Drosophila melanogaster: one gene and its partner. The protein of the gene in region 2 interacts with the protein of the main gene of each other region in a biochemical or structural test. Each region holds a gene or a part of one and is shown on either strand. Other genes may lie near its edges.

Evidence for each region.
Region 1: of the proteins of otu (region 2) and Ubi-p63E, one has a biochemical effect on the other in vitro, tested with the Drosophila melanogaster proteins (one study listed by BioGRID).

Annotation. Positions count from the first base shown.
Region 1 is NT_037436.4:3,890,259-3,905,507, forward strand, and holds Ubi-p63E (Ubiquitin-63E), read right to left. Parts: upstream 12,927-15,249; 5' UTR 12,746-12,926; intron 12,663-12,745; exon of another isoform or gene 12,597-12,662; intron 12,450-12,596; exon of another isoform or gene 12,269-12,449; intron 11,793-12,268; exon of another isoform or gene 11,595-11,792; intron 11,513-11,594; 5' UTR 11,502-11,512; coding exon 9,210-11,501; 3' UTR 9,173-9,209; downstream 1-9,172. Other genes in the region: Fie (fire exit), read left to right, coding at 2,588-2,731, 3,275-3,656, 3,720-3,856, 3,911-4,000; Gr63a (gustatory receptor 63a), read right to left, coding at 4,741-5,850, 5,926-6,075, 6,136-6,345; Lamtor4 (late endosomal/lysosomal adaptor, MAPK and MTOR activator 4), read left to right, coding at 6,679-6,833, 6,890-7,097; Ccz1 (Caffeine, calcium, zinc sensitivity 1), read right to left, coding at 7,201-7,682, 7,746-8,539, 8,604-8,701, 8,757-8,840; Sc2, read left to right, coding at 13,283-13,653, 13,811-14,027, 14,248-14,363, 14,426-14,630; ida (imaginal discs arrested), read left to right, coding at 15,099-15,249.
Region 2 is NC_004354.4:8,479,265-8,495,181, forward strand, and holds otu (ovarian tumor), read right to left. Parts: upstream 10,272-15,917; 5' UTR 10,110-10,271; exon of another isoform or gene 10,084-10,109; intron 9,859-10,083; exon of another isoform or gene 9,680-9,858; intron 9,589-9,679; 5' UTR 9,568-9,588; coding exon 9,340-9,567; intron 9,278-9,339; coding exon 9,180-9,277; intron 9,111-9,179; coding exon 8,956-9,110; intron 8,899-8,955; coding exon 8,503-8,898; intron 8,450-8,502; coding exon 8,313-8,449; intron 8,119-8,312; coding exon 7,993-8,118; intron 7,730-7,992; coding exon 6,485-7,729; intron 6,417-6,484; coding exon 6,240-6,416; 3' UTR 5,744-6,239; downstream 1-5,743. Other genes in the region: Cp36 (chorion protein 36), read left to right, coding at 93-140, 230-1,036; Cp38 (chorion protein 38), read left to right, coding at 2,650-2,694, 2,921-3,796. UniProt on the Drosophila melanogaster protein: Catalytic component of a deubiquitinase complex consisting of bam and otu. The complex deubiquitinates K63-linked polyubiquitinated proteins; this antagonizes the ubiquitination activity of Traf6 and regulates the IMD immune signaling pathway.

The DNA of each region.
Region 1 (15,249 bases), on a different chromosome or scaffold from region 2:
CGAAAGCTTCATTTGTACTGAGAAGATAAAAGAAGTATGAGAAGTTCTTAGTTAAATATTTTATGATTTTCTGAAAGGCTTTTCCTTTGTAATTACTTTCAGAGCCCTATAAACTATAAATACCACATTGAAACCCACCACACCAGGAACTAGCAACATTCATAGATCGAAAATGCCCGCAAACCCGACTGTCAAAACAGGCAAACAAATTGTGCAAATAAGTCGGGGAAATGTTATTTATGCCCGTAAGATTTTCCGTGATTAAATAACTAAGGTACAGGCCAGTCGCCTCGCCGCTTGTTTTGCAGAATGACAGCAGTTGCAACTTAGCCGAGCTCCAAATGTGTCAGCATCGGTTGCATATTAATGGCCCGGAGGTGTGCATGCCAATTGTCATGCGCTGAAATGCTTGTTAACAACGTCGATTGCTTTTGGCCAAGTCAGTCGTCTATATATACCCAGCACCAGCCCCACCCCCAGCCAGAAAGCAAATCCAACTCCACATCCACTTTCAAATCCGAGCTAAAGCCAAAGTCAAATCCAACTGAACCTCCTGCTCTCCCACTTTTTCCTCTTTTTAATCAAAAAGAAGTCGATGCTCCTGACTCCAGACTCCTCCCCCGTGGCAATAACGCCACACATTTGTAATGTTGCTTCTGTTTTTGGCTGAAAGAGGAGCCCAGGAAGCAGCAGAGACAGTAGAGGAACTGCACTAAATGCTCACACTGAGAAATATAATCTGGTAGTCGATAAATAACATTTTAAGTTAATTGAAAGTTGATAAAATGGTAGAAATCAAAATCCAATAGGATTACATATTTATGGTTTTAAGGATATGTAACATTATTTATTTATTTCCAGAACCCTTCCGAGTTTTTTCCGGTGCATCTCTTAGATGCATTTTACAAGTTACTTTAAGGCAATCAATTTGTAGTCGAATCGCGTGGATCGCAAACGGGCGGGCGGGTGATGGGTTGGAAAAACCAATCAAAAGAGCGTTGCGAACGCAAATTGAACGGCAAATGGTTGCAAGATGATATTTCAATACACCAGCTTGCCGGGATCACCTGTGCAGCGGACTTCCAACCCTTTCACTCCCCTTCGGCCATCACTTTTTGGCCATAAATTATGGACGGGCGACGCCTGCGCGTAGTTTTCTTACTTTTTTGCAGTTATGATTATCGCGCCAGGATGGAAGAATGGGGCAGCAGAAGGAAACACATACGTTCCGTTCCTGTGTGTGCAAACAAATGTAAAAAATTTTTAATTGACTTTTGCAGTTTCGCAGTTGCCGGAGCCACCGCCAGTTGCACTTTTTATGGCCCCTCGCGTGTATGGCAGCTTAAAAGTTAATAAAACACGCCCAATGATAACAAGCCGCCAATAACATATATATATATATTGCCCCTGAGGTCTTCATCATCGTTTCGTATTTCCCAACATTGTGAGCTGATCCCCAGATACCAGATCCGCCAGCATCCCAGTCGATCCTCGCCAGGTTACCAGAAGTTTTCGGAGCTTCGAGCTCGTAGAAAAACAATCAATTAGGCCCAAAAGTAGCTTCCAACTCCAAGGGAGCGCCATAAGTTTCCGTCTCCCCCCAAGATCATGATGGTGATGATGGGGCTTCGGATGGTTAGGATGGTCCGGATGGCTGGCATGTTGCCCAGTGGCATCGACACGACTTTGATTCTCTTTCCGCGCCGACTGGCAGGAGTTTTATGGCCTGCTTTGGCGAAATTTATGTTACATTTTTATAGTTCCAGTGTAAATTGACTTTTAAAATGCAAAAATTTATCATAGCAACGGGCTGCAGTATGCAGGGGGAAGTCCCGCGCCAACTTTAATTGCCTGCGCCCCGCAAGACGGTGGCAACTCTGGCGGAAGCTTCGAAAAGTCAAAAGAAAGCTCTGTGAATGGGACGATAAACATCTGCGCGGTTTCAAGAGGAAAACAACCCCCAAAATTGTTCGCCAAGGCTTTATTTATTGGAGAACGTTTAGATACTCTAAATCATAATTAATGATTGTAATATTTTACTAAGAAAACGATATACAACTTTAAAAAAGGAGATTCACAAGCTAGCTTGGCTATTTTAATCAACGTTTGGTCGGGGTCACCAATTGAAAGTCATTACTGAATATAAAGCTATTAAGCCATAAATTTAAAAAAAATATTTGGTTAGTCTAAGAATACTTTGATTTTTGAATTATCCTTACATGTACATATATTGTATAAACCACACGCTTTAGATAGCCAAAAAACTCAACGGCAGAGTATGAAACAAAACACAGTCGTAAAAGCTTTTCGCCGAGTCAAAACATTTTGCGGACCTTGGCACTCAACGTTGTTTTATCCATATAGTTTTTTTGATTAATTCGCTAGTGCAGTTTACGCCCCAAACCACAGGAAAAAGCTCCGGAAAAGTTTGGGTCGCGTGGGTGTTGCCCCTCCACCTTTTCGCGAGGTCTCCAAGTTCAATTGCATGACGAAACAGCCGCGGAACAGTTGCGTCGCTCCTTGATTAGCTGAATAAGCGGGAAAAATCCATAAATTGATTAAGTAAAACTCGGAAAACTAAAGTGAAATGCTGCTGCCAACGGTCAGCGGCCAATCCGCCGCAGGATGCAAATGGAAAAACTGCTGTCGCCGCAGCTGGGAAATGCTGATGGCGCCCGTATCGCCCAAGAACCTCAGGACCACGGCGCTCTTGACGAGCATCTACCAGTTGGTAAGTTCAAACATACATGTATATATAGTAGCGGATTATATAAGAGACTGGAGAATGGATATCTCAGGCGGGGCGCAGCGCACTGGCACGCAGGGAGATCCGGGAATCCCCGAGCAATCCACAATGTGCAGCCGCGGCCCCAAATACAAAAATTACGCACTGGATATGCAAAGCCATACCCCACTGGGCGCGCAAGGAGGCGTCGAAGGCGGCAATGGAACGCTCGCCCCCGCCTATCCCCGGAGAAGTCCAGGGGCGGAGCGAAGGAGACGCTCCTGCGGCGCAATGCGTCCGCACTTGAGTTTCGTGATCGGAAACGTGCCAGGACGAGCACCCTTTTTAAAGCTCTTCTCCTGAAATATATTGGGAGTTGTTGCGAAAGCTCCTAGAACCAGTTGGGAATTGTAGAAGCAGCTTTCTGGCTTCGTTCAGTTTGGTGAAAAATAAGGGTGGTAGCTTCAGCAGATCGCTGGGTTGTTCCGGTTTTCGCAAACACTTTTTGTTAAGTGAGATCCTAAACAGTCGCTTTTCTATATTCCCCAGTTAATCTCCCACTGCGCCCTTTTCCTGGTTCTCCTGGGACTGGCGCATGCCGAACAGATGTGCGAGGTGCTGGAGCTGGACATCTTGGACCAGAAGGACAATGGTTTCTACAACATGTCGCCCTTTCACAACGATCTTCGCCTGCAAACCGCTGCCCAATTGGCCGTCGCCACGGAGAATCTGCTCTACGTGATGGCTGGTATCGCGGGTACCTACGCCCTGAGTGCCATATTCCTGTTTTTCGGAGTCTTCAAAAATCGGCCGGGCCTAATCATACCCTGGCTGGTTGTGGAGTTCCTATTAATGATTGGTTTGGGGGCACTGGTCTTCATGCTGAGGGATACAAAAATCGTGCAATTGCTGGGTGGTCAAGTGCCCTACTGTAAGTTTGGATTTTTAGGCTTAAATTTTGAAGTAAATAATAACGAATTATCTTATATTTCAGTTATCATTTGCTACATCTTGATCTGCATGGATTACTGCAAGTGGTATGTGATGCATAGCTTCTACCAGAGTCTACGCACCATGAATAAGCTTCGAGAGATTGCCACTGTGGCCATACCATGTCCAGCTCCAGGAGCCGTAAGTTGGTATCAATATTTTGAAAACTTTAATAGTAACTTTCTTATACATTAGATACCCTATCGTTTCCAACGCGAGCACATGTATCTGGGCAGCAATGGATATAAGCACATTCTAACCGAGTCTCCCGATGGACAGTGTTAAACATGTACTGAAAGATTGGATATTTTTGGAACTTCCCATCAGGTGTCTTGATTGCAATTGCACTGCAAATTCTGTATTGCAAAACAGAGTGTGATATGGTTTTGGTAGAGATACTATTTTATATAGCCAACGGACATGGAGCGGCTTATTAGAAATGCAGAATCGGTTCAAAGCGTTCGGCGATTAAACTATAAACTATTTTTGTGTAGAAATAGCTCCCAAAGCACCTTAAAAAATAAAAAAAATAATAATAATATTTGGTCACTAACGCGACTCGAACTCGGAACTTCGAAGCGAAGGTCGCACTCTCTAACCCCTAGGCTACGGCAGCGAAACTCTCGGGATAGCCGAGATTGATTAAGCCCCAAAATCTTGAAACGAAAAACTTGTCTTAAATAAATTGGCGTTCATACAAATATGTATTGTAGCAACGAATTTTTTAAAGCTTAGTTTCTCAGTAGATTTACCACTACTTAACTATAATATGCCTTAAATTCTGTTGACTAGCAATATTTTAGGTATTTCTATTTTGTGGCACAGAACGAATATCAAATAAAAGTGCAAAATTGTAACATATCTAATGAACGTGTTTTTTATTATTTCCACACTTACTAATTTAATGTACATCAAGTTAGAAAAATGTTTGGAATATTCAGTTTTGGGTGCTTTTATTATTTGGCCTCAGCTACAGATGCACATTATCTAATAATATCTTTCTTGTCTTAGGATTATTTGTTCCACTAGCCTTTCCGGCCCTTTAGCTTCATAATTGGCGGTGGCAAAGTGGTTCCTACAGTGGTGGTGCTCAGAGTGCTGGCTCCCATTAGACTCATATCGTTATCCAGGCTGTCCATTACAAAGTCCACTACGGTTATATTGTTAGCGCCTTCAGAATCCCCCTTATCTGTGGGGATACTGATCTGAAACTGCAGCAAAACCACCAGATAAGTGACCATTGTGGTTAAGAGTCCTTTAAAGAGAGTCCTGTTCACATCAAAAAAGCCACCGCAGTTGATGGTCGATGGATTCATTTCGGTGGCTCGCAAAAACATATTTATCTCCGTCTGGGCATCCGAGTTCATCCAGTTAAGCTCCACCATGAGTAGTTTCTTCTGGAAATTGGTTCGCACATTAACCGAGGCATAATGTGCCTCATCGCAAATATAGAAGAGCAGTCCTATGTTCCACAAAGCCGTGATAGTCAGTCCTATGTCCTTGATGCCAAATCCCTCGGAGAGTTGCGACATTAGTCCATAAATCGAAAGGGTAATGATGAAGAACAAGTAGAGGCTCATGAAAACAAAGGTGTAGCACAGGGCATTTCCAGTATCACGGGTCAACTTGCTCAGTCGTAGCCACAGAACACGGTAGTCTGCCACCATGGCAGCGGGTCCAATGTGTTTCAGTGCCTTCTGGAACCGCTCCGCCAGAAGATGAGCCGTAATGCTCATGGCCTCGCAGATGAGGAACCACCAGGCACCCAGCATTGCAGTCAAGTTGTCCAGGATGCAGTAGGGCACCACCTGGTTAATGTTCAAATCCGACATGGTGACGTGCGTGATGACCACCGATAAAACCGAGAGAATTGGCAGCACGATGGCTATGTACACCGCCTTCTGTCGCAATTTCAGAGGCAAACTGTGCCCGGATATCTGGTAGTACAACACCTCAAAGTCATCCCAATCATTGAAGAGCTTTGCTATCTTCCTGGCCTCGTACCACAATATTGGTATAATCATAATGGGCAGGATGTTGACCAGAAAGAGGTATGCAATAACCGCCTCCTCGAAGGGTCCACTCAGGGAGCGCACAATGTGGATGCGGTTGTTGGCCACATAGCCTACATAGCACTGTAAAGCGGTTTTGGGTTACATAATGGTATCCATAGTCAATTTTGAAAAATGTTATGCAAACACCACACTCACCGCCAGGAGCACAAAGAAAACCACCGAGTAAATAAAGGAGGCGGAGTTCATTTCGAACTTGGCACGAGCAGGACCATGTCGCACGATGGGTAATACTCCAATAATCCTCAAGAACCAATTGATGGGATCTATGTTTCGGTAGAAAACACTCTGAAAGCAGCGAAATTCAGTTTTACAAAAATGGTTTTAACAGCGTAGCAATCCACAAACCGGCTTAAATTCCGGATTATTGGACGCCGTGCTGTCCGAGCTCTTTTTCCTATCCAACGGAGGAGCTTCGTAATCCGCATCCAATCGCTCCGCCAATCCAATGGAGTACTTGCGGACCCCGTACAAGTATGCCTGGGCATTAGCACTGTTCAGCGGTTTTGCATTGAGGAACACCGCGTCACCCTTCTTGCGTCGATAGTAGTTGGCCATTCCGGAGAGACTGTGTCCGGAATTTCCTTGTCCGTGGCCTTTTACCACTTTTTCGCCAGACGGACGCATTAGCCATGCACCTGCACACGCCCCCTTATCGACCACGCCCTCTGTTGACTTAGAGCCGGAGTTTTAGTTTCCTGTTGATGTGCGTTGTTTGTCTTTTGAATGAATTAACCTTAGCCCGGTGTCCCAATTTCGAATTTGTGTCAATGGCGCGCATGTGGCAATTTACAACACTGAAACCGGGCTGCCAGGCTACCGATTTGGTATCTAAATGGATCTAGTCCGGTCACACTGGTGGGTGTGGGTGCGAAAGATAAATAAATAAATATGTTGAAAATGGACAGGGAAAAGTTGATTGTGCCCAATCAAATTGGCTATCTGATACTAAAGGAAGATGGAGCAGTTCTGGAGTCCGGCGGAGATCTGAAGAACGATGAGCGCAGTGCAAATGTGATAATGGGATTACTAAATCTCACAGAGACGTGCGTTTTTAAACAAAGGATGAAGGAATTTTGTAATAATTACGCCTATATTGTAGCATCGACGAGTCCTTCATGCCGAGCAGCAGCTGCGAGAGGATCACCATCGATTACGAGCATCACTACTACAGCATCTGCATGTCCAACCGTAGAATATACATCATTAAGATCAGCAAATCGCAGAATGGCGTCACCACGACCACGAGCTCCTCCTCGTCGAACAGCGTGTATAACGATGCCAGCGATTCCGGGGCAGTGCTGGCTTGAAATCCGTCGTCGGATGTCCGACCCACTTGCAGATTCTGTTGGCAAGCAACCGGACAAAGACCCCACAATTGGCGCACTCCCATTATTTACCTAATCCTCCTCTTTATTTGTCAAAAAATACATCATCTGTGAGCTCTTGCTCGAAAATGCGCCTCGCTTCCTGGGTGACGTCCAGCAAGGTGGCCTTGCTATTGCACAGGATCACATAGTACTGCCTGTAGTTACAGCGCCGCTTCACAATCCAATAGTCATTGGTGGTCTTGACCTGAACTTCCTCGGCAGGAGCACTCTCCATTTCCGCCTTGCCACTGCCATTGGCCAAGTCCGCAATGATACTAAGCACATTGCGGGGCAGCCCTTGGGGCAGGTGCCTCTGAAAGTTCGTGTGGTGCTGCAGGCTTTGTTCGTTAATGAACAAGTACTTCGGCGCCGTTTCGCTGTTCCCGCTGGAGTTGTCCTGGCCTGCAGCACCCACCGCCTCCTTTGTCAACTCGCTGGATATGTCCCGGGCCAACGAAGTCAGTTGGGGAGCCATGTAGGCATGGAGATCGTCGTAGAGATCTTGTTTCGGCGCAACCTGGTCAGCTGACAAATGTGGAATGTTTCAAGTTGATTATTTTGGCTATTTAGTTCTAATCCTTAACATACCATTCAGAAACAGACACAGAGTTATGTGCAAAGCGCGGTAGATGAGCAAGTAGTAGGGTTTGGCCTCCTTGTCCAGTGTCACATAGACCTTCATTGGATGATCTTCCTCATTCACAGCGTCATGTTCATCTCCTGCGACCTTCTGACGACTTCTTACGAATCCGCCCACCTGGCATTCACTTATGCTTCGCTTTAGTGAAGGAGAAACTGCAATGGTGGAACTGCTGGCCTCGACTTTCAGCACGTGTTGCACGACATACGAGTGCACGCAGTGCAGATCCTCCGGGCTAAGTTTTCCGCCACAAAGGACCTGCTCCTGGTAGAGCATTATGCTCTCCTTGATGTCGGGGAAGGTCTCGCACAGGGTGCCAAAGTTTTGGGCCCGCAAGAAGAGCGTTTTATCCAATGGCAGATACTGAATGGAATGCAGCATATCGATGATATCACATTGCGCGGGATCCCTCAGGTTGGTCAGATGCTGATCATAGAACTGGAGTAGCTTCTGGCAGAGCAGTTCCCTACGCTTATCCGGATTAGGTTCTTCACTTCCGCAGGAGGAGAAACATCCGTTTTGAAAGCGAAACATTTGATAGCATTGTCTAAGTATTGCTCTATAAATCCTGTCGGAGATCTCGGCACCCCGATAATCGGCCACCTCCACGCCCTCCTTTAAGCGCACCTCCTTGGGAACATTCAGGACCAGTACTAACCAATACCCTGGCTCGGGTTGGTAGAAGAGTTGTGTGGTTTTCTGGGTATGCAAGGCCTGGCAATCATCTTCAGATGTAAAAGTTCTGCAAGTACAGCAAACTCTGTATTATTACCCACTTCCCTCTATGTAAAAAGTTCCATAAATACCCAGTGAACCTTATGATGGCCTCACTTAGTCCCACATCTTTGATTTTCGTATTTAATTCAATGTCATTTGGATGGTAAAACAAAACCTTCTTGTGTTCCTGAAAAAAATTACTCATTAGGGGCGTTTCTTAGCCTTAAAATTGATTTGCCAACCTCGCCTTCAACTTGGCCAAAAGTCGAGTTAAAAATGTAAAAGCTGCGTAACGTAATTTCTACGCGTTGCAATAATTTAGCCATTTCTTTCCGCACAGAATTAAAAGTATTTATTTTGGCCAAAGGTAAATAATGAAAAGGTACTAACGCGTCCGTGTTTGCCAACCAGGGTTACATTTTACCAAATGTAGTGTGCTAGTATATACCAAACGTTTCCAGTACCAAATTAAAAAAAATACCACACAATTAATAAGCGAATTTAAAGCTTTTTCATTTATTTTGGAATTTAATAGATTTAATAAAATTTATGTCATGGCGTTTACTGAAATTTAGAATTTTTCTGATGTCTTCCCTTTTGACAATGCAGAAAGGAAAGTGGCCATCCATAATCTCCTCATATTTATTTAGAGTGAAGTGCGTGCTAAATTGTGTTTATTTGGAAATGTATTTAGTTTAAGCCTGGATTCCTCCACGGAGACGGAGCACCAAGTGAAGGGTCGATTCCTTCTGGATGTTGTAATCGGACAGGGTGCGTCCATCCTCAAGCTGCTTGCCGGCGAAGATCAGACGCTGCTGATCTGGGGGAATTCCCTCCTTGTCTTGGATCTTAGCCTTAACATTCTCAATGGTGTCCGAGGGCTCTACCTCGAGGGTGATGGTCTTTCCGGTCAAAGTCTTCACGAAGATCTGCATACCACCACGGAGACGAAGGACCAAGTGAAGGGTGGACTCCTTCTGGATGTTGTAATCGGACAGGGTGCGTCCATCCTCAAGCTGCTTGCCGGCGAAGATCAGACGCTGCTGATCTGGGGGAATTCCCTCCTTGTCTTGGATCTTAGCCTTAACATTCTCAATGGTGTCCGAAGGCTCTACCTCGAGGGTGATGGTCTTTCCGGTCAAAGTCTTCACGAAGATCTGCATACCACCACGGAGACGAAGGACCAAGTGAAGGGTGGACTCCTTCTGGATGTTGTAATCGGACAGGGTGCGTCCATCCTCAAGCTGCTTGCCGGCGAAGATCAGACGCTGCTGATCTGGGGGAATTCCCTCCTTGTCTTGGATCTTAGCCTTAACATTCTCAATTGTGTCCGATGGCTCTACCTCGAGGGTGATGGTCTTTCCGGTCAAAGTCTTCACGAAGATCTGCATACCACCACGAAGACGAAGGACCAAGTGAAGGGTGGACTCCTTCTGGATGTTGTAATCGGACAGGGTGCGTCCATCCTCAAGCTGCTTGCCGGCGAAGATCAGACGCTGCTGATCTGGGGGAATTCCCTCCTTGTCTTGGATCTTAGCCTTAACATTCTCAATGGTGTCCGAAGGCTCTACCTCGAGGGTGATGGTCTTTCCGGTCAAAGTCTTCACGAAGATCTGCATACCACCACGGAGACGAAGGACCAAGTGAAGGGTGGACTCCTTCTGGATGTTGTAATCGGACAGGGTGCGTCCATCCTCAAGCTGCTTGCCGGCGAAGATCAGACGCTGCTGATCTGGGGGGATTCCCTCCTTATCCTGAATCTTGGCCTTCACATTCTCAATGGTGTCCGATGGCTCTACCTCGAGGGTGATGGTCTTTCCGGTCAAAGTCTTCACGAAGATCTGCATACCACCACGGAGACGAAGGACCAAGTGAAGGGTGGACTCCTTCTGGATGTTGTAATCGGACAGGGTGCGTCCATCCTCAAGCTGCTTGCCGGCGAAGATCAGACGCTGCTGATCTGGGGGAATTCCCTCCTTGTCTTGGATCTTAGCCTTAACATTCTCAATTGTGTCCGATGGCTCTACCTCGAGGGTGATGGTCTTTCCGGTCAAAGTCTTCACGAAGATCTGCATACCACCACGAAGACGAAGGACCAAGTGAAGGGTGGACTCCTTCTGAATGTTGTAATCGGACAGGGTGCGTCCATCCTCAAGCTGCTTGCCAGCGAAGATCAGACGCTGCTGATCTGGGGGAATTCCCTCCTTGTCTTGGATCTTAGCCTTAACATTCTCAATGGTGTCCGAAGGCTCTACCTCGAGGGTGATGGTCTTTCCGGTCAAAGTCTTCACGAAGATCTGCATACCACCACGGAGACGAAGGACCAAGTGAAGGGTGGACTCCTTCTGGATGTTGTAATCGGACAGGGTGCGTCCATCCTCAAGCTGCTTGCCGGCGAAGATCAGACGCTGCTGATCTGGGGGAATTCCCTCCTTGTCTTGGATCTTAGCCTTAACATTCTCAATTGTGTCCGATGGCTCTACCTCGAGGGTGATGGTCTTTCCGGTCAAAGTCTTCACGAAGATCTGCATACCACCACGGAGACGAAGGACCAAGTGAAGGGTGGACTCCTTCTGGATGTTGTAATCGGACAGGGTGCGTCCATCCTCAAGCTGCTTGCCAGCGAAGATCAGACGCTGCTGATCTGGGGGGATTCCCTCCTTATCCTGAATCTTGGCCTTCACATTCTCAATGGTGTCCGATGGCTCTACCTCGAGGGTGATGGTCTTTCCGGTCAAAGTCTTCACGAAGATCTGCATACCACCACGGAGACGAAGGACCAAGTGAAGGGTGGACTCCTTCTGAATGTTGTAATCGGACAGGGTGCGTCCGTCTTCCAGTTGCTTGCCGGCGAAGATCAGACGCTGCTGATCTGGGGGAATTCCTTCCTTGTCTTGGATCTTAGCCTTAACATTCTCAATGGTGTCCGAGGGCTCTACCTCGAGGGTGATGGTCTTTCCGGTCAAAGTCTTCACAAAGATCTGCATTTTGGATTATTCTGCGGGAAGAAAATAGAGATGTGGAAAATTAGTACGAAATCAGACGAGTTTCGTTGAAATTACAAAACTATTGAAACTAACTTTCTGGCTGGGGAATAAAAATGGGAAACTTATTTATCGACGCCAACTTTGTTGAGAAACCCCTATTAACCCTCTACGAATATTGGAACAAAGGAAAGCGAAGAAACAGGGAACAAAGGGTAGTTGAGAAACCTTTGTTCCGTTGCTTCGTCATCGTTTTCGTGTTGCGAGTGTGTGCATGTATGTATACACAGCTGAAATGCATGCATACACATTATTTTGTGTGTATATGGTGACGTCACAACTACAAGCAATAAGAAATTTTCAGACGTGGCTTTGTTTAAGCAACCTACTCTATTTCAGCTAAAAATAAGTGGATTTCGTTGGTAAAATACTTCAATTAACTAAACAACTAACTAATAACATGCACACAAATGCTCGAGTGCGTATGTGATTTCTCGAATTTTCAAATACGTCACTGCGAATTTCACAATTTGCCAATAAATCTTGGCGAAAATCAACACGTAAGTTTTATTTATAGATTTGTTTGCGTTTTGATGCCAATTCATTGGGAAAACGAGATGCGTGGCTGCCAATTTCTTATTTTGTAATTACGTAGAGCGTTGAATAAAAAAAAATGGCCGAACAAAGACCTTGAAATGCAGTTTTTCTTGAAATTACTCAACGTCTTGTTGCTCTTATTACTAATTGGTAACAGCGAGTTAAAAACTTACGTTTCTTGTGACTTTCGAGAATGTTCTTTTAATTGTACTTTAATCACCAACAATTAAGTATAAATTTTTCGCTGATTGCGCTTTACTTTCTGCTTGTACTTGCTGCTGCAAATGTCAATTGGTTTTGAAGGCGACCGTTCGCGAACGCTGTTTATATACCTTCGGTGTCCGTTGAAAATCACTAAAAAATACCGTAGTGTTCGTAACACTTTAGTACAGAGAAAAAAAATTGTGCCGAAATGTTTTTGATACGTACGAATACCTTGTATTAAAATTTTTTATGATTTCTATGTATCACTTTTTTTTTGTGTTTTTCGTTTAAACTCACCACAGTACAAAACAATAAAATATTTTTAAGACAATTTCAAATTGAGACCTTTCTCGTACTGACTTGACCGGCTGAATGAGGATTTCTACCTAGACGACCTACTTCTTACCATGACATTGAATGCAATGCCACCTTTGATCTAAACTTACAAAAGTCCAAGGCTTGTTAGGATTGGTGTTTTGGAATTTAAGACCCTTGTTAGTTTGCTTTTGAAATAGCACTGTCTTCTCTACCGGCTATAATTTTGAAACTCGCAGCTTGACTGGAAATTTAAAAAGTAATTCTGTGTAGGTAAAGGGTGTTTTAAAAGTGTGATGTGTTGAGCGTTGCGGCAACGACTGCTATTTATGTATATATTTTCAAAACTTATTGTTTTTGAAGTGTTTTAAATGGAGCTATCTGGCAACGCTGCGCATAATCTTACACAAGCTTTTCTTAATCCATTTTTAAGTAAAATTTGTTTATACTCTTTCGGCAAATAATTGTTAAATCGCTTTAAGTGGGCTTACATCTGGATAAGTAATGAAAACCTGGATAATATATTAATACATATAATCCACTGTGCTTTCCCCGTGTGTGGCCATATACCTAAAAAAGTTTATTTTCGCAGAGCCCCGCACGGTCACACTACGGTTCGGCGATTTTCGATTTTGGACAGTACTGATTGCAAGCGCACCGAAAGCAAAATGGAGCTGGAGATTTTGAACGCGAAGAACAGCAAGCCGTACGGCAAGGTGAAGGTGCCCTCCGGCGCCACGCCCATCGGCGATCTGCGCGCCCTAATTCACAAGACCCTGAAGCAGACCCCACACGCGAATCGCCAGTCGCTTCGTCTGGAACTGAAGGGCAAAAGCCTAAAGGATACGGACACATTGGAATCCCTGTCGCTGCGTTCCGGCGACAAGATCTATGTGAAGGATCTGGGTCCCCAGATTGGCTGGAAGACCGTTTTCCTGGCCGAGTACGCCGGCCCACTGATTGTATACTTGATTTTCTACTTCCGACCGGAGTTGGTGTACGGCAAAGCTGCCAGTCTGCCGATTTCCCTAACCACCCAGTGAGTTTGTAGAAAGTAGTCTCTGAAGTCTTTCGATTGTCGACCTAATCGACCTCGTCGCTTATGCAAACTAAAACGCAACGGCTCTGCATAATTATCCCCGAACTTTGGATGGTGGTTCACCCAGTAACCCGCTTTCTTTTCTCTTTTGCCCCAGCATTGCCGCCGGCTGCTATACGGTCCACTATGTGAAGCGTCTGCTGGAGACGATTTTCGTGCACCGCTTCTCGCACGCCACCATGCCGCTGAGGAATCTCTTCAAGAACTGCACATACTACTGGGGATTCACCGCCTATGTGTCCTACCACGTGAACCATCCGCAGTTCACCTCGCCCTGCATGTGCACCGTTTGGGGAGCTCTTGGGGCATTCGCTGTATGTATCCGCGGCCATGGTTTATGGATCTGGGTTATATGTTTTCGTAATCTACCGGTTTCCTTTGCTTTTGTTCGAAACATTTGTTTCTTAATACCAAAGGTGTAGCTTTTTGTTAAAATTGGTCAAGCAATTTGTAATGTTATATGTGCTATATATTTGGGATCCATTAATCATATTTGCAGACCCACAAACTAAGCCGCACACTTTTCACTTTCAGCTCTGCGAACTAGGAAACTTTTCGGTGCACATTGCCCTGCGCAACCTGCGTCCGCCGGGAACAAAAGTGCGCAAGATTCCGGTGGCCGATGGAAATCCCCTCACCAAGCTGTTCGAGTAAGTGGTCACTAAAAAAACCCACAGCTCAAGTTTATTAATTCGCGCTCTTCGAACTGCAGCTTGGTTTCTTGCCCCAACTACACCTATGAGATCGGTGCCTGGGTTTCATTCTCTGTGCTGACTTCTTGCCTGGCTGCCTATCTGTTCGCCTTTGCCGGAGCCTTCCAGATGACCATTTGGGCCTTGGCCAAGCATCGCAACTACAAGAAGGAGTTTAAGGACTACCCTCGCCAGCGCCGCTCCATCTTCCCCTTCGTCCTGTAGGTTGGATGTGGGTATCCCCATGACGCATTCGCTGTATTACCTATTCCACATTATACATTTACACATTTGGCTAGCGTTTAACAGGGTAGTTGTCTAGTGAACTTTGTGCTTTCGTTGATTTAAAGCAAATACAAATTGGAGAAGCGTACATTTGGCGTGTTTTCGTCGCTTTTTGGACTTTGATCGATCGTATGGGAAGTTCGACGAAGCGCGTGTAATCAGTAATAGTTTATTTGGGGCTTTCAAAGGTGTGCCAGGTGCTTACCTTGCTAAAAATAAGTGGCCACCTTGGGTCATTTATTTTTAACACTTTTATTTCAGAATGAAACACCTTTTTTATAGCTTTAGTAAACCAATAATGCATTTTTATTGAACAAACATTTTGAAACAACGCGCCATCTGGAGCTGCCACACTGCTGAACTCCGTACCGTTTGGCATCTCCAGCGAAGCTAAGTTGGCTGCGGCTGATGATTTTGTGTTTACATTTTGCCGGCAAATCGAAAATTGGATTTAGAGGCCCTAAATTAACCATGAATCTGTTCGAGGAGCTGGACACCTTGGACCCCTCCTTCAAACTAGAGCCTCCCCGCATCGAGACGCCCACGGCGCACAAGATTA
Region 2 (15,917 bases):
CCGGCCATGGCGGGCAGCGATTATAGGCGCTATAAAGAGCCGGAGTCATCGCCAGACAGCGAGCAGTAGACGATCCACACGTAAACGGCAACATGCAACTCGGTCTCTGGTTTGGCATTTTGGCCATCGCCGCCACGCCGGTTAGTAGCTTTTATCCATGGCATTCGCATTGGGCATCCCGCTAATCTCGCAAACTCTCTCTCTCTCTCTCTTACCTCCTCCTCATTAGCTGGTGAGCGCTAACTATGGTCCCGCTGGCGGACACGGACACGGACATGGACATGGACAGTACCTGTCCGGTCCCAATGCCGGACTCGAGGAGTACGTGAATGTGGCGTCTGGTGGCAACCAGCAGGCTGCCAATCAGATCGCCTCACAGGCCGAGATCCAGCCCACGCCGGAGGAGGCCCGTCGTTTGGGTCGCGTCCAGGCCCAACTTCAGGCCCTCAATGCCGATCCCAACTACCAGAAGCTGAAGAACTCCGAGGATATTGCCGAATCTCTGGCCGAGACCAATCTGGCCAGCAATATCCGTCAGGGCAAGATCAAGGTGGTGTCGCCACAGTTCGTTGACCAGCATCTGTTCCGCTCCCTGTTGGTGCCATCGGGCCACAACAATCACCAGGTGATCGCCACCCAGCCCCTGCCACCAATCATTGTCCACCAGCCTGGTGCACCACCAGCCCATGTGAACAGCGGCCCACCGACTGTGGTGCGCGGCAATCCGGTGATCTACAAGATCAAGCCCTCGGTCATCTACCAACAGGAGGTGATCAACAAGGTGCCCACTCCGCTGAGCCTCAACCCCGTCTACGTGAAGGTCTACAAGCCCGGCAAGAAGATCGAGGCTCCACTGGCCCCGGTGGTTGCACCCGTCTACAGCCAGCCCAGGGAGTACAGCCAGCCCCAGGGTTATGGTAGTGCCGGAGCTGCTTCCTCCGCCGCCGGTGCCGCCTCCTCTGCCGATGGCAATGCCTACGGCAACGAGGCTCCACTGTACAACAGCCCCGCGCCCTATGGCCAGCCCAACTACTAAGGTGCTCATCCTGGGCATGGGTTGCTCCTCAGCTGCGACAGCTGGTTTAATTTAAATTTTTGTTTTTTTTTTTCTTTGCCGAACTACTGAGCGCAAATAAATGAAAAAAAAATACTTGAAACGTAAACGTTTTGTCATCAATTATTTTCGACCGGAAGGGGCTACCTGAGTGGCAATGAAGCACACAGATTAAGCACATATTTATGAATATATAAATATATACGAATGCATGAGAGAACAAAAAATTATATCTAGTTTTCTTCAAAAATAAATAATAAAGGGGAAAATGGTATAAAGTATGAACATAAAATTATGAACGAGTATAAATAAGTTTGTAATTGAAATCTCTACGGTCATACAAGTATTTTAACTATTCTATAAATATGCATAAACATGGTACGCATTTTATGAGATACAATTCGAAAGATATTGGATAGCATTATCATGCATGAAATTATTTCACACTCTTGTGATGGTAGCTATCTTATTCCAGTTATCGTTTAATTGCAAAGAATGGGATCAAAAGGTCATCTTTATCAACATATTGTTGATTCCGGAATGAATAATAAATAATAACATAACTATGAATTAATGGAGCAACTATAATTTTACGGCCTCTTTTCTTTTAAACAAAGAATATAGCACTTTTAATGCATTAAATACGTATTTAAACCTTTTCTTTTGAAACGCCAAATTCATATTAGAGTTTCATAAGATTGTTTTAAAACATAACAACATAATAATTGAAGAATTGGAAATCTTTTTAGGTGTTTGTAAGCCTTTGAATTCCTAATTGGAATAGCTAAAGATCCATATTTCATCTTCAAATCTCTTTGCAACTAGAGATTTATTTTATCTGGCAATTATTAAGTATACATTTTTATATGGTACTTTAAACTGATGGTTTAATCAGTTACATGGATTTTCTAAATTAAAAATGGTCATGTGAAGATAGCCACTCTTCTAACAATCTAATCACATTTATAGTAAGAAATACAATACAATACAATACAATACAATACAATACAATACAATACAATAGAAAGACAATCGAATCTGCGCAATCCGTGTGAAATTCAAGGACTACAGCTGGGTGGCTAATCATTTCCCCCTATCCACTTACACCTCGGATTACCTCTTATTCCGACTCCCGGAGTCTTGTGTCTGCCAATGCGGAACTATTTTCGCTATCTGAACAGACGTTCGGACCTCGATATGCGGCAAAGATTCACAGCCCGGCTGTTGATTCCGATTCGGTGGCAATGTGTTCGTTGTTATTGTAAAACGGGCAATGGCAACTGGGCAGTGGGCAGTGGGGTTTTCGGGTTGTGGCTTCTACGTAAGTGGAAGAGACGCCGTGATATGCGCTGGCAGCGATGCGTGCGATCTATCAACATTTGGCCATGTTTCGTTCGCATCGCGTGGGCCCGGAGCGGAACAGCCGGCACCGGAGTTGGCATCAATCCAAATGTCACGTACCCGGAGCCGGAGACGCGTCCGGAGCATATTTAAAGTAGTCGGCCACCAATGGAGGGCAGCAGAAGACAGCAGACAGTCCAAGCGGGAGCACACCAGAAGCCGAAGAGCAACTGGAACTGCAACTGGGAGACAAGATGACGAGATCGACCTACATTTGGGCGCTGGCCGCCTGCCTGATCGTAAGTGTTCAAGCTCGAAATCTTAGGATTAATCCCAAGAAAACCAAGTCTATCAATTCTGACTGCTTTCGTTTGTGCCATGTAAATCGTACATGAAAAGCAAATTGACTTTCCTTTAAATTACTTGAAACGGAATCAAGCTATCTATCGATGCTAGACTTATTTTAAGTATATGTATATGTCGATCCAATTCTAATCCACCCCCCCCCCCTCAATTTACTTTTAGGCCTGTGCAAGCGCCAACTACGGCAGTTCCCAGGGCTATGGACCCGAGTCCGGAAGCGGTGCCTCCGATGGCGGTGCTGATGCCGCTTCAGCGGCCGCAGCAGCTGCCGGCGGTGCCGGTGGAGCTGGTGGCGAGTACGGTGGTGCTAACGCCGGTGCTGGTGCTCTCGAATCCGGAGCCGATGCCGCCGGTGTGGCACAGGCTGGCCAGAGCAGCTACGGATCCGACCAGAACATTCCGTACAAGCCGGTGAACACCAAGGGTAACACCCTGACCTCATCGATCACCTACCCGCAGAACAAGGGCGAGATCCTCATCCATCGTCCCGCTCCCATCATTGTCAAGCGTCCGCCCACCAAGGTGCTGGTGAACCATCCACCATTGGTGGTTAAGCCCGCTCCCGTGGTGCTCCACAAGCCCCCAGCAATCGTTCTCCGCAAGGTCTACGTCAAGCACCACCCACGTCGCGTCAAGGTTGAGCCCGTGTTCGTCAATGTGGTCAAGCCCCCAGCAGAGAAGTACTTTGTCAACGAGAACAAGCAGGGCTACGGACAGGGCTCGCAGTCCCACGGACACGGCCATGGACACGGTGGCCATGGACACGGACACAGCGGACACGGACACGGTGGACACGGTGCTGGACCCCATGGTCCTGGACCCCATGACGGTGGCCGTGCTCTGCCCGCCTACGCTTCGGGAGCTGATTCCGCTGCCGCCAGCGCTGGCTATCAGCTGCTCCAGAGCGGCAACCAGGGTCTGTCCGCTCTTGCCAACATCGCCGGCGAGCGTGAGGGTCCCTATGGTCCCGCTCCAAGCCATCAGCACTATAGCGCCGGTCCAGCCGGACATGGCGGCTATGCTGCTCCCGCCTATTAGGTAACAGATGCGGAGGAGTTACGGATTGGATGACTGCTGCGGCTCCGGAATCAACTGAAGCGGCTGGTTTAGTCATTCGCTTATCCGGCTGATTAGTTACTATGTTTTTTTTACAAAAAAAAAAAAAAAAAACAGCCTGATCGACCAACGCCCATGCCTACGCCCACGCCCACTCATGCACACCCCAATACCACCCACTCACCCATTCAACGGCCCAGGAGGGGCGTGGCACTCAGGTTTCTTTGCAAAACAAATAAAAAATTTGAACAAAAAAAAAAAAACAATTATACCCAAGCTGAATGTTGTTTTCGATGAAGGGTGAAATCTAGATGCTAGTTATATTTAAATTAAACTATCATTAGATATATACTCTAATTGATAGTTATTGATAGTCTTGCGACTCATTTTAAACTTGATACACTTATAGCATAGACAGTGAGTAATATCATTGATATTATTATATAATTATTGTTACACAAAGTGCATATGATGAGAATCGATTTAATGATGGGAGAACTGACTTACCCGCAACTTTATTCGCAGCAACAAGTGTCGCATATAATAAATACAATAAATCCGAAACGCAGGCTGTCATTACACACATCGTTTGGTTGTCCTTCCCCATTGTTGTGCGTTATGCCAATGGCATCCCACGCAATTGTTCAATAACAAACGGGCGGCAAAATCGGCTATAATGATAGGTAAGGCAAAGAAGAGCTCGGCTGATGACAGGTGGAATCGCAATTTAGGTCGCCCAGTGCCGCCCATTTGGCAGTTTGAAAATTCAGCATAAAAATGCGATACCTTTGCACAGAGATTTCAGTCTGTAAGCAGAAATAAATTGAGAGCATTAATAAAATAACCAACTAAACAGAATTATTAAAGCGAGCCAAAACAAATCGGTTTCAAGTTCAAATATTTTTTTTTGCGAACACTTTTCGGTGATAAAAAAAAAAAAAACAAAACCAAATAACCAACAACAGAGGCGAAATGAGTCACTTATGCTTCCTTGTAATGGGTTTGTGTTTCGCAATAATCGCCTACTGTTCTGGACAAGTTAGTATTGTTTTAACAATGACTGATATGTTAACCATAGAATAACAACAAATAATACCTATAACAAATTTTGTCCAGGGTATCACAGAAAGTCCTTATAACCGAAATTGTTACAGAGACATATATTGCTTATTGGCCGATTCAAATTAAACAAACCATACAGGTACGTTGGTGAATTGAAATATTAAACTTATGTACAAAGATTTCTGTGATACCATCGTATTATTAGCTTCCAAGTTCTTTAGTACTTTAGCATATTTTGTAATTTTTGTTTAAGATACTTATTTTCATAATTTATTCCAACTAGCCCTTATCTAAACGGACAACGGAAACCAGTATGGAGGCGTTGCACTCCTTAACTCAACTTATCTTCAGCATTCTGGATGGTTTTAACATGGGTTAGTTTTAGCAGGATAATGTTGACAGCTCAAAACATTTTCAATGTACTACATACTAAAGTAATCGTGATTGATTGAACTAATGAACCTTATAAATTTTCTAATATCTAATTTTCTTAGTTGTAAATACTTTTTGTTGTTTTTTTTTTCTTAGTTAGTATGCACTAATTTGATGTAATATGCTACAATATAAACCCATGCATTAAAAAACTATCTGCTTATCAAAAATAACAGCGTTTTCTAAAACTAACATAGACAAACAAATTATGACACAAATAAAGACAGTACATACAATAATAACAAACTTTTACAATGAAACTAAAGGATTACATCAGAGTTCTTTATCGTTTCGAAGATCAGCGTCGATGTGATGTGACGAGGTGAATCAAAGTAATCCAAGCCAATCCACACCTTTTGTTTGCTATCTGAAATCGCGCCGAAACACGAGAATACCACGTAATTGCAGCACCTGCAAAAGTCTTTTGTACATTTTGTCTCTTGCGCTGCAGTTGAATCTTGTTTTATTTATGGTTAATTTTTGATGGTACACTTTACATAGGTGAGTCTCTAGCCGAACAGCGAGCACATAAATATATATATATATATATATGTATATATATAGTAGATAGTATGTAGATATTTTTGGTTAGAAGGGTTTTAAATAAATCATATAAATAGGTGGTTCTTTGATTTCGTGACGGCTAACTTTAAAAAAATTCGCATAAAATTACGTTAAATTACATTTTTAAAATGAAGTTGGGTTGACATTTGCGTTAGGTTATGCAATCGATTGTTGTACAGAAGCTGAATGGTTTATGATAGAGCGCCAACGCTTATGGCCTATAAAAAGTTAACTACAAATTTAAAAGTGAGATTAAATTTTAAAAGCCGTTAATTGCAATGGAATGTAATGCCTTCGATCTGTATGGCCTCTCTCTTTCAAGTGATCTGTTTTTTGCCCCCGCTCCCTTTTTTTTTTCTTTCTTTGTTTAGTGATGACGCGTTGCAGCATAGACAGCTGCCGGCTGAGATTGGACAGATAAGGGAGCTGGTTGCAAGGTGGCTGGCTGCTGTTGTTGTGGCTGAGCCGACGGGTCCATGTTATAGTTGTTGATCACCTCATAGGGGGACACCACCGGAGCTGGCATGCCCCAGGCGTAGGGAGTCTAAAAATGGTCGAGTGTCGATTGCCTATAGAATATTTTGAATTTGTTAGTGCATGTATCACTCCTACCTGTCCTTGAGCTGCTCCCCCTAGCTGTGGTGGTCCCGCCTTGTGGTAGAATATCGGTGGCGGTGGCGGCGGTTGGAGCAACCTCGGCGGTGTTATCAGGTGATGATGCGGCGATGGAGTAGTATAGAAACTAAACTGACTGCCATTCGAGCTTGGCGATGGCGTTGGAGTGGGCAAAAATGCCGCTGGCCCCAGCGAATCCTTAATATCTTGCAGCTGCTCCGGACGTTTGCCGCGCACCTTAACCGAATTCAAATTGCGCTTGGCGTAGGCACTTTTCTCAAGCGGTGACTGCTCTGTGGCATTTGCCACCTCTGGCGAAGGTGGTGGTGTTGACTCCACGGCAGTCAAATTGTCCTCTGTGGCGCCAATGACTACAGTCCGTCCTGCCTGTTGATCAGTGTTGTTCTGCTGATGGTATCCAAACATTCCTAGTTCATCAGGCGGCGTGTGGTGCGACATGCGCCAATGCAAATCCACGCCCATGTTGTAGAAGTATCTCAAAGTCACCATATCCACGGGCAAATCTTCACCGTTTGGGTGTAGAGAACGACGTGGCTCGCCAATTCCGGTAACATTTAGCGGTGGAGAAGGAAGCGGCATAAATGGATGCGGTCCCGATAAAGCAACAGCTCCCGGTGGTGGTGGACCATAACCACCGAATGGCATGTATACACAACCTTCGGTTGGCGGTGGATGCGGGGTTCCTGAAATGGGGAACGGAAACTCCTCGGCAATAGCCATCGGAGATGCAGGCCAAGGTGGCGGTAAATGCCCAGGACGACTCGGTATCATTGGCACGTAATTCATATACTGAGTGGGTGGCGGGGCAGCCGAACCCGAAACCTCCTGGTTTTGGCTGGAACTCGAGTTCTGCGGCTGAACCCTTGATGCCTTCGTGCGCTGGTGTTGCTTCTGTGCCTGCGGTTCTTCACGATCCCGCTGCTCCGTAGTCGGGTTCTGGTCATTTTGTTCAGGATCATTATGATCCCGCTGCTCATCGTCCTGAATGTGCACACCCTGATAGCAATTGTCCACGGGCATGTAGGGCATCAAATCACACTTGCTGTGCTCAAAATACTGGTCCATTTCGAACAGCTTGTTCTTCTTCCATTTGGAAGACTTGTTGGCCTTACCGGCATACTTGGGCAACGGCAAGCGAGGCATCTGGCGATGATAGCGGAATGGCAACGACCATGGGCGGTACTCATCTGGCGGCAGGGGATGGAGCGATTCATACGGGACCTAAGCCAACAGATATGTTTGTATATTAGTAAGCTCTCTATTAAAGCGAAATAGTTACAATTAGCTTCGGATACCGAACATTTTTAGCCCTTGCAGATCAATTATTTTATAGACTTATATACCAGTTCATTGGGCCACAATTAATATACTTTTAACTAAACTTTAACAAATTTAACTAATTGTTAAATATGATAATCGTTTCTAATCGAAATTTTTGCATTTCTCTGCAAGGGTCTAGAAAATCAGATAAAAAGAAGAGGTACCACTATCTCTTTGCCAATCCTCTCAACAAAGACGTGGCAGTAATTCTTATCTTTGGAGATATTTTGAACGTGGCACGTGTACATCTCCGTTTCGTTCGGCAATTCCACCTTGCACTTGGCGCCCACCTGGAAAACAAATAACACGGCGACGAGACGAGGAAGGATAAGGCAAGACATACATGTATAGTAAAGTATAAGGTGTATCCAGTGTATAGATGAAAATGAAAGGGTGTTAATTTGGATGGGTGGTTGACATGAAACGTGTGTTGGTGTGCGTGTGTATGTGTGCTAACGATAATCCAATGTTCTGCACAGTTTACCTTAAAGTTATAGTCATTTATGTAGACATTATAAAGCTTGGCCTCCTTGCGCATATCGTTCCAGCAATCAAATTCTATATTACGATACATATAGGGGTCCATGGACTTGGCCACTTTGTAGGGAAACGGAGAGATACCTAAAAAGAGAGTATTATGTAAGCATTTGATGTTTGAAACCACCTCTACTGACCATCATCTAGCAGCTGGCGGACACAGGACTCCAATCGGTTTGGACACATGGGCAACAGATCGTTTGGTTCGTGGCCACTGCTGCCGGATGCCTTTCGCTCCTCCTGGTTTTTAATCTCCAGCCGGCCTCCCTTTCGAGCATTAATGCTCTGATTTCCATTGGTGCTATGGAAATTGCACAGCTTATAGTTTTCCAGTATGCAGTTTGTGTCCCCTGGCAGATCAAGCTTAAAAACTCGTCCATCGGTGCAATGAATGCGAACCATATAGCCCTTGTCATCGAACTCCACATTGAAGCGATCCCAATTGAAGGTGTGTGGATGCAACATAATCTCCACAGCAAAGGATACGTCAGGCAATTTGAAAAGCTTCTGGTACAGCAACTTAAAGGCGATTGCTGAAAGCAACGTACATATACAAAAAGCAAAATTGGATATATTAATAGGCTACGTACATTGACAAATGGCGGCTCTTTCTATATATTCAACGTCATAAACCGAATCAAAGTGATTCTCATTGTTGAAGAAGACACGGAAGTTTTCCGCATAGCGACGATTAAAAACGACGCTGGTGCCCATGTTGTAGGGCTCATACAGGATAACATTGCGGCTGGAAGTCGTACAGAAATCATATATATTTGTAGAATTTAATAGAAAATAGTAACTAAGGATTAATTACCGATATAGGCAGGACATAGCGCGTAGTTCTGTCATGGTTCCATATGTCTTGGGCTTGGACATGTCCTGCATGTAGCTATCGAAATCGCCAGGAATTTCCTGGGATATAAATAAAATTATTTCTTTTTTTTTTACAAAATGTGTGATTGTTAGAGGCCTACCTTCTCAAAGATGCGTCGTTTTAGGGTCATGAAGCGGACGCACTCTAGCCGAATCTCGTAGTGCAGCATCTGGGTGTCGTACATCTGCTCGGCGATCACACGGAACAAACTGGAGGCGTCCCGGGCCGTGTGCTTACGGTAGAGTCCACGGCTCTCCAGATACTGATCATACGGATCCGGGGCCTGCCGGCTGCCTGACGTAATGGGGCGCTGCACTTGCATGTCCATGGCGACTCTGGAATCGAGAAACTTAAATTTTATTCATTTCATTTTTTTTTTGTCATGTTTTCCCTTTGAAATACAAGTATTGCACAATTAACAGTTAGAAGAGGGCCCTGACCTCGATCTATTTGACCTTCACAATCACTTTTCAACTGCTATCTATTGTCGTTTCACTAAGAAGTGCGCATACTAAGCTTTATTACTTATTTTATGTTAACTATTGTATAGTTTTTTTAACTTTAATAGTTTTAAAGCAAATTTGCTGCAATACAAATATATTCCAATTATTAACCGACTCCATACAAGCCGGGCTTCAGAGCGAGATGACAATATGCACCTGCGAATTCAAGATGGCGCAGTAGAAAGGCAAATGAAGCAAAAGAGCAAAATTAAATGTGATGAAGCTGATGAAAATTAAATATTTGTTTAAAATTTAATGATTTAAAAGCCTCTCATGCTGCGCTTAATTAGTTAATTTCGTCACTTGACAAATTACCGTTACTATAAATGTTTCAACTAATACAGTTAAAATCGAATCGAGATATTACCGGTGTTCTGCTGTTCGTCTTCTGTTGTACAAATTCTATTTTTATAAATAGTTAACAATTAAATTAACAATTAAAAATAACACTGGCATCCGCACCTAGCACCGTTACACGAAGAATTGAAGCGAATGGCGCGATCTAGCCTTTCAGAGAACCCGCGAACTAGAATGCGAACGAAAAGTATAAGAACGAACTTCCAGTGCCTGGAAGGATGCCGACAAACGAAATTGGGCAATAGTGATGTGCGGAAATGAATCAATGGAGTTGGTTCGTGATTTTATCAACAAAATAAATATATCTGATCTTGTTGAATACTTTCTAAATGAAATACACAAGTGTATGATATACTTGAAATATATTGCTGAGCGGTTAAAAAACTCCTGTTATCGCCGTCTATCGATGACACCGATAGCGGCATCATCTGTTCCGTGTCATCCCCAAAAGTTTCTGTTACCTTCAAATTGTTCTTGTTACTGTCGTTGCTGTTGTTGCTGGCCCGCTTTTTAGGGGGTGGAAAATGCCGCTTTCCACACGGCGCACTGTTGTTCTTGTTCATCAGACTCAGTTCGAAATTGCGAGTCAATGAAGCCAGGAGCAAACTTTCAGTTCGCGCTGTTACCGCGACAAAAGTTGTCTGGAAGAGATGTGAGTGTGTGACTGTGTGTGCCTTTTGTTTTCCTGTTTTTTTTTTGTGTTTTTTGTGTTCTCGTGTAAAGTTATGTTTTTGTTTATTGTTAGTAAATGTCGTTAGTTGGTTATCTTGCGAGTGTGCAAAACGCAACGACTATGAATTCTATTTCCTCTCGGTGTTTCATCAACTTTACGCCATGTTCATCTGTTTCGTTTTCCTCCTCCTTCCATCGAATAATAATAACAAAGAGTTTTACATATGAAAATCACAGTCATTAACAAAAACAACACACGTGGACTCAACCACACACAACAATGGACATTTGTACATGCGATACACACATGCAAATAAACAACGTTATGAAATTGGAAGGAGTGCACAAAAGGAAGAAGTAGAAATGTGCGGTTATTTCATATCCAAGCAATGCCGTAAAAATCAATAGGAGCGACAAACAAAGCACGTGCTTGTGCGAGTGCGATGGCAAATCGATAAACCGTTAATCAAGTTTGTTGAACGCGTGTTCGCCCCGTCTCTCTCTCGCCTTGTTTGCGCCACCTCTCTTTCCCACACACGGCCCAACGAAATAATATTTCTTTGATTCCTTTTCGTTAATTCCACGATTTTCGATTAACTGGGTCAAATGGTGACATAGATATGATGTTCTTTTTTTTTGGGTGGTATTTCATTTTCCAGGTGCCGAGGTCAATGTCACGGACATTTCTGCAATGCCGTCTGCTGACCTTCGAACTTTGGTTCGTTTTTGTCAGCAATTAATTGATTAAATGATTCGGCCAATATATTGTCGGTCGTCTTATCAATATACCGATTATACAACTATCCTGTTCCCGCAACTATCTTATCACCAAAAACAAAATAAAGAAAATACAAAAATATAGGTCTCTTGAACCGGACTCGTCGGGCTCCCAGATAAGTGCTCCATTAGCTCCATCTCGCTTGCTCGCGGTTCTTGACATGTGTCCCTCAAACACGAATTAACGACTTAAACTCTTCATGTGATAAAAATCGACGTTCCTGTTTTCGAAAAACCATCACTTTGTTTTCCAAAATATAAAGGTCTTTAAAGCTTTATATCTGATATTGCATGGTATTTTATAACATCTAAATGTTGTTTTTATAAGTGGTTTCAAAATCTTGTGCTGTGTGATAATATTATATTAACGTAATTTCACAAATATGCGAAATGAAATGTTTGATGGTGTAGAAATACAAACAATACCAACCATCTTTGAAATAGCACAGTGAGTTTCTGAATTTGGGAACATCTCGAAAGTTGTCTTCTCTGCTTTTGTTGTTTTTTTTTTCTGATGCGATTGTTTGCCGGTCGGCGGCTAAGAATTTCCGTTTGCTGCTTTTAGTTGCCTTCGAACATTTTAGCTCGTCGCGTCTTTGCTGAAATAAAAAGGGGAAGTAAGAGGTAAAGCATACAGTCCAAACAAAACAAAGAGAATTTCGCTTGCCAAGAGAATCCGAAGCAACATTTGCCAAATAAAAAAGTGAATTGTGCATGAGAAATATCTTCTTTTTTTTTGTTTGGCTGCCACGAACCGGTTATTTTATTAGCTTCACTCTAGCGAACCGCACACAGTCGTGGACGCAACTATTAGGAACACCCATCTGTCTGCGAAGTGCCTGGTTTGCAAAGCGCAAATATATTAATAGGGCAGTAATACACAGTTCGTTGTTGTTCTTTTATAAATAGCTTGACAAATTCAGTATCGAAAAATCTTTCAAGTGATTTCATTAAAAATATCAGGGTGCTCGAACCCTACAGTGTAATGCTGCCTTAACAACAAAATTATTATCCTTGTCTTTATAGTTTTGCTTTACTTAAATTCTTGCTTTTCTTTTGATTCTTTTTTCTTTTCACGTATTTGCTTTGCCAATCGAATCGGTAAAATACCGCTTACCACTTGTTGTTGTCTCAGTCGCAAGATGCAGCCGTTTAACAGTAGCGGTGCCCACAGTGGCGGCGAGAAAAATGAGACCCGCATGCGCCGCCGGCCCATATGTAAGCTAAATTTTGACACCTTATCCAAAAGACCGTCATATTTTTGCACTTCACCCCGAATTACGTTAATCCCCGATGCTAAGTTAACCGTTTTATATCTTAAGTTAAACTCTCATTTATTTGCTTGTTTAATTGACATTTATTTAGTGTAACCTTATTTACTAACGCTAATTTAATATTTGAATGGCCACCTTGGGTACACTTTCCATATTTATATTTACTGTTTGGGGTTAACAGAGTGCAAAAAATGCATTTATTTAATTGCAAATTCTAACTGCCATATTATTTATAAAAAATATTTAACGATTTTAAGCTAACGATTAAGTGCCAGAAATTGGCAATTTCACAGCCACCACTGTAAAATGTAATTCGAATCGCTACTAATTTTTTTTAAACAAATTCCTAGAGGCCTCTCTCCGTTTTCCTTTTGTTTTACTTAAGTTTATTTTAGTTTGTTTGTTTCGCTTTGACATCTTTTATTGCATTTTCCCATAATTTGCTGCACGCTATTTTTAGAACGCAGTAAAGAGGAATTTCGCAGCAATTAATGTAATGCTAAGTATTAATTTATAGTTTGTTTGATTTTTTACACTAATTGCATTATGCTAACAATTGGTTTTGCTAACGTGGCCCTGAAACGCAAAGTTTAAGGCCAGCGTGCAAGCAGTGTACTGCTTCGCCGAAATGGCGTTTAACTTCTTGCTTGAGTTGGCCCGACTTCACTTGACTCCCAACTTGGTGCCATTTGTTTATTTTCTGTAAACACGCCAGCGTCTATTTGTTAGCTTGTTGTTATTTGTTGTGTGGTTTTATTTTTTGTTGCAATCGGCTGCTCGGTTGCAATATTATAATGACACTTGCAGTTGCACTTTCATTGCCATTGCCAGATGACGAGGCTTTAACGGTTCATCGCAGTCAGCTGTTTATGCGGAGCTTAATCGATTGCATTTAAGCTACAGCGGCGGTCATCTAACTAGCATTGTCAGCAGAAGTGGGGTGGGGGGTGTCGTTTAACAAATTAATACCCTTTAATAACCTTTATTCATATGTAATTCGAATGTATATTAATTAATTTATATCATTAATTTGAAATACAGCTATGCTATTAATCGCACCCAAGCTGTATGGTCGAGTCACGTCATTGGTGCATATTGAGCAACATAATCGATATCTTCTATAGGTTATGACTTGCCCAATGAATCGTGAATTGAATAACTTAGCCTAGTAACATTTAGTTTGATGTTATTGGGGCCTATTTTTCACGGCATTGTTTACAAACATTTCCAGTTGCAGTTGCATTTGTTGTTTGTTTATTTATTTTCATTGCCATAGTCGGCTTTTCACCCTTTTTTTTTTTGTTTGTATTCATATAATTTTTTAAAAGGCAGCGGCGCATAACGGTTTTTTGAGTGCCCAGCGCATGAGCGTTTAATCATTTTCGATTTATCTTGCTTTTTCGCTGCCTTTGTTTACCCTTTTTGAGTGGATTTTGGCCATTTCGATCTCGGGCTCAAGGGCTTACACGCGCCCACTTACACGGGTACACTTGCGTTCGAAAAAATAGCAACAGAATGCGTATAGTGTATACATATATACTGCTAAACTGACTTGCGAATTGCAGAAATATATACATTAACAATTGATTTAATGCGTTTGGAATAGAATTCGAATATTTGATTGCTGTTACTATTAATTCTACCCCATGTGTATATCCGGGGTGCTCAGAATGAGCTGCGTCTTTTTGCGTAGGTGTCTCAAAAGCTTTCTAAGACCCAATGTGCTCGTTATGACGTCAGTGGTTCTGCATTCATGCTGCCTGGTAAACAATCGCGTCAATATTGGCATTAACACCTCATCTTTGGTTTCCAGTTAACAGACAACGTCATTTGTTGTCTTTGATAACTCAGCGGGAATTAGGAGCCCACTGCAAATTGATCTATGGGAAATAAATTAATTAATTGGGTCCACTTCGACAACCTGAAACCATTAAAAGTGCTACTGATTTGAAAATATTAAGGCATCGTACAGTGGAACTTCCCTAACTCTTACCAAAAGTCCGTTTGCTTTTCTTTTTTTTTTGCTGCTCTTTCGAAGACAAAAACTAATTCCTTTGGAGAGTTTTCTACATAACACATGTGTTTAAATAGAGATATTCAGCAAATGCGCGTTTCTGGAGCAATCAAATAAGAAACTGTGGCCCTGCTAGTCGGAACTTAGTCGACATTGAGAATCGGTTGGTGGAATTAATCAAAATTGAGATAGAAAATTGAATGTTTTTTTTTTTTTGTGCAAAATCGGTTATTTTTCGTGTTGTTTTCTAAAAAAAAATTATGTTGCCTTTTCAAGGACAACTTTGTGCTATATTAGTATTGATATAGATTGAACGATCTCAAGATATAAATCGAAATTATGGATCGGCTGCTGGGTAGCCAAGTGGGGCGGTGTGGGCGTGGCACATACTGCGGTTACGCCCGACTCGTGAACACCTGTGATGACGAAAGCACCGATGAGGCAGGTATGTCTGTGAATCCCTCAGAGAATTAATAATTTCGGAAGTTAGTGAGCACAAAGATTTTGAGACGGAGAGAAAATTGACGGAGAATTGTCGATTTTAAATTGTTTGTTTGCGTCGCTACAACATGTTTGCTCAGATAATTGTTGACATTTGCTATGATAATACATTTCTGACGCCTGCTTTATGCAGGAAAAAAACATTTATTTTCTAAGGAAATACGATTTATTCATTTCATTTTTCACTTTACAATAATTATATTCACTAGACTAATGTGGTAATTCGAGATCAGGTCTATCTGATTGTTTGATTGTTTGATGCGCTAGCACATAGAACCCTTAAATAATTTGACTATTTTGTCTGCTATTATTTATCGCTTAGCATCTGACTCCTTGTGCAATCAGCGAACTGTTGACACTGTCATTTGGTTATTTTATCAAATTTACAATTGCGTTTCTTTTTATTGCCATTGCTGTTCGCTTTTTACAGTCGGCTTGCGCTGCCCTCTAAGAATTGAGTTATTCAAACAAAAAAAGGTGATCATCTTTCGCCGAGCATTGTAAAATAATAAAGCTCCGTCGCAATTCGTTTGAATTGTTTGTTGTTTTCGACGTTGATAGAGGTTTCCCCATAATGCCG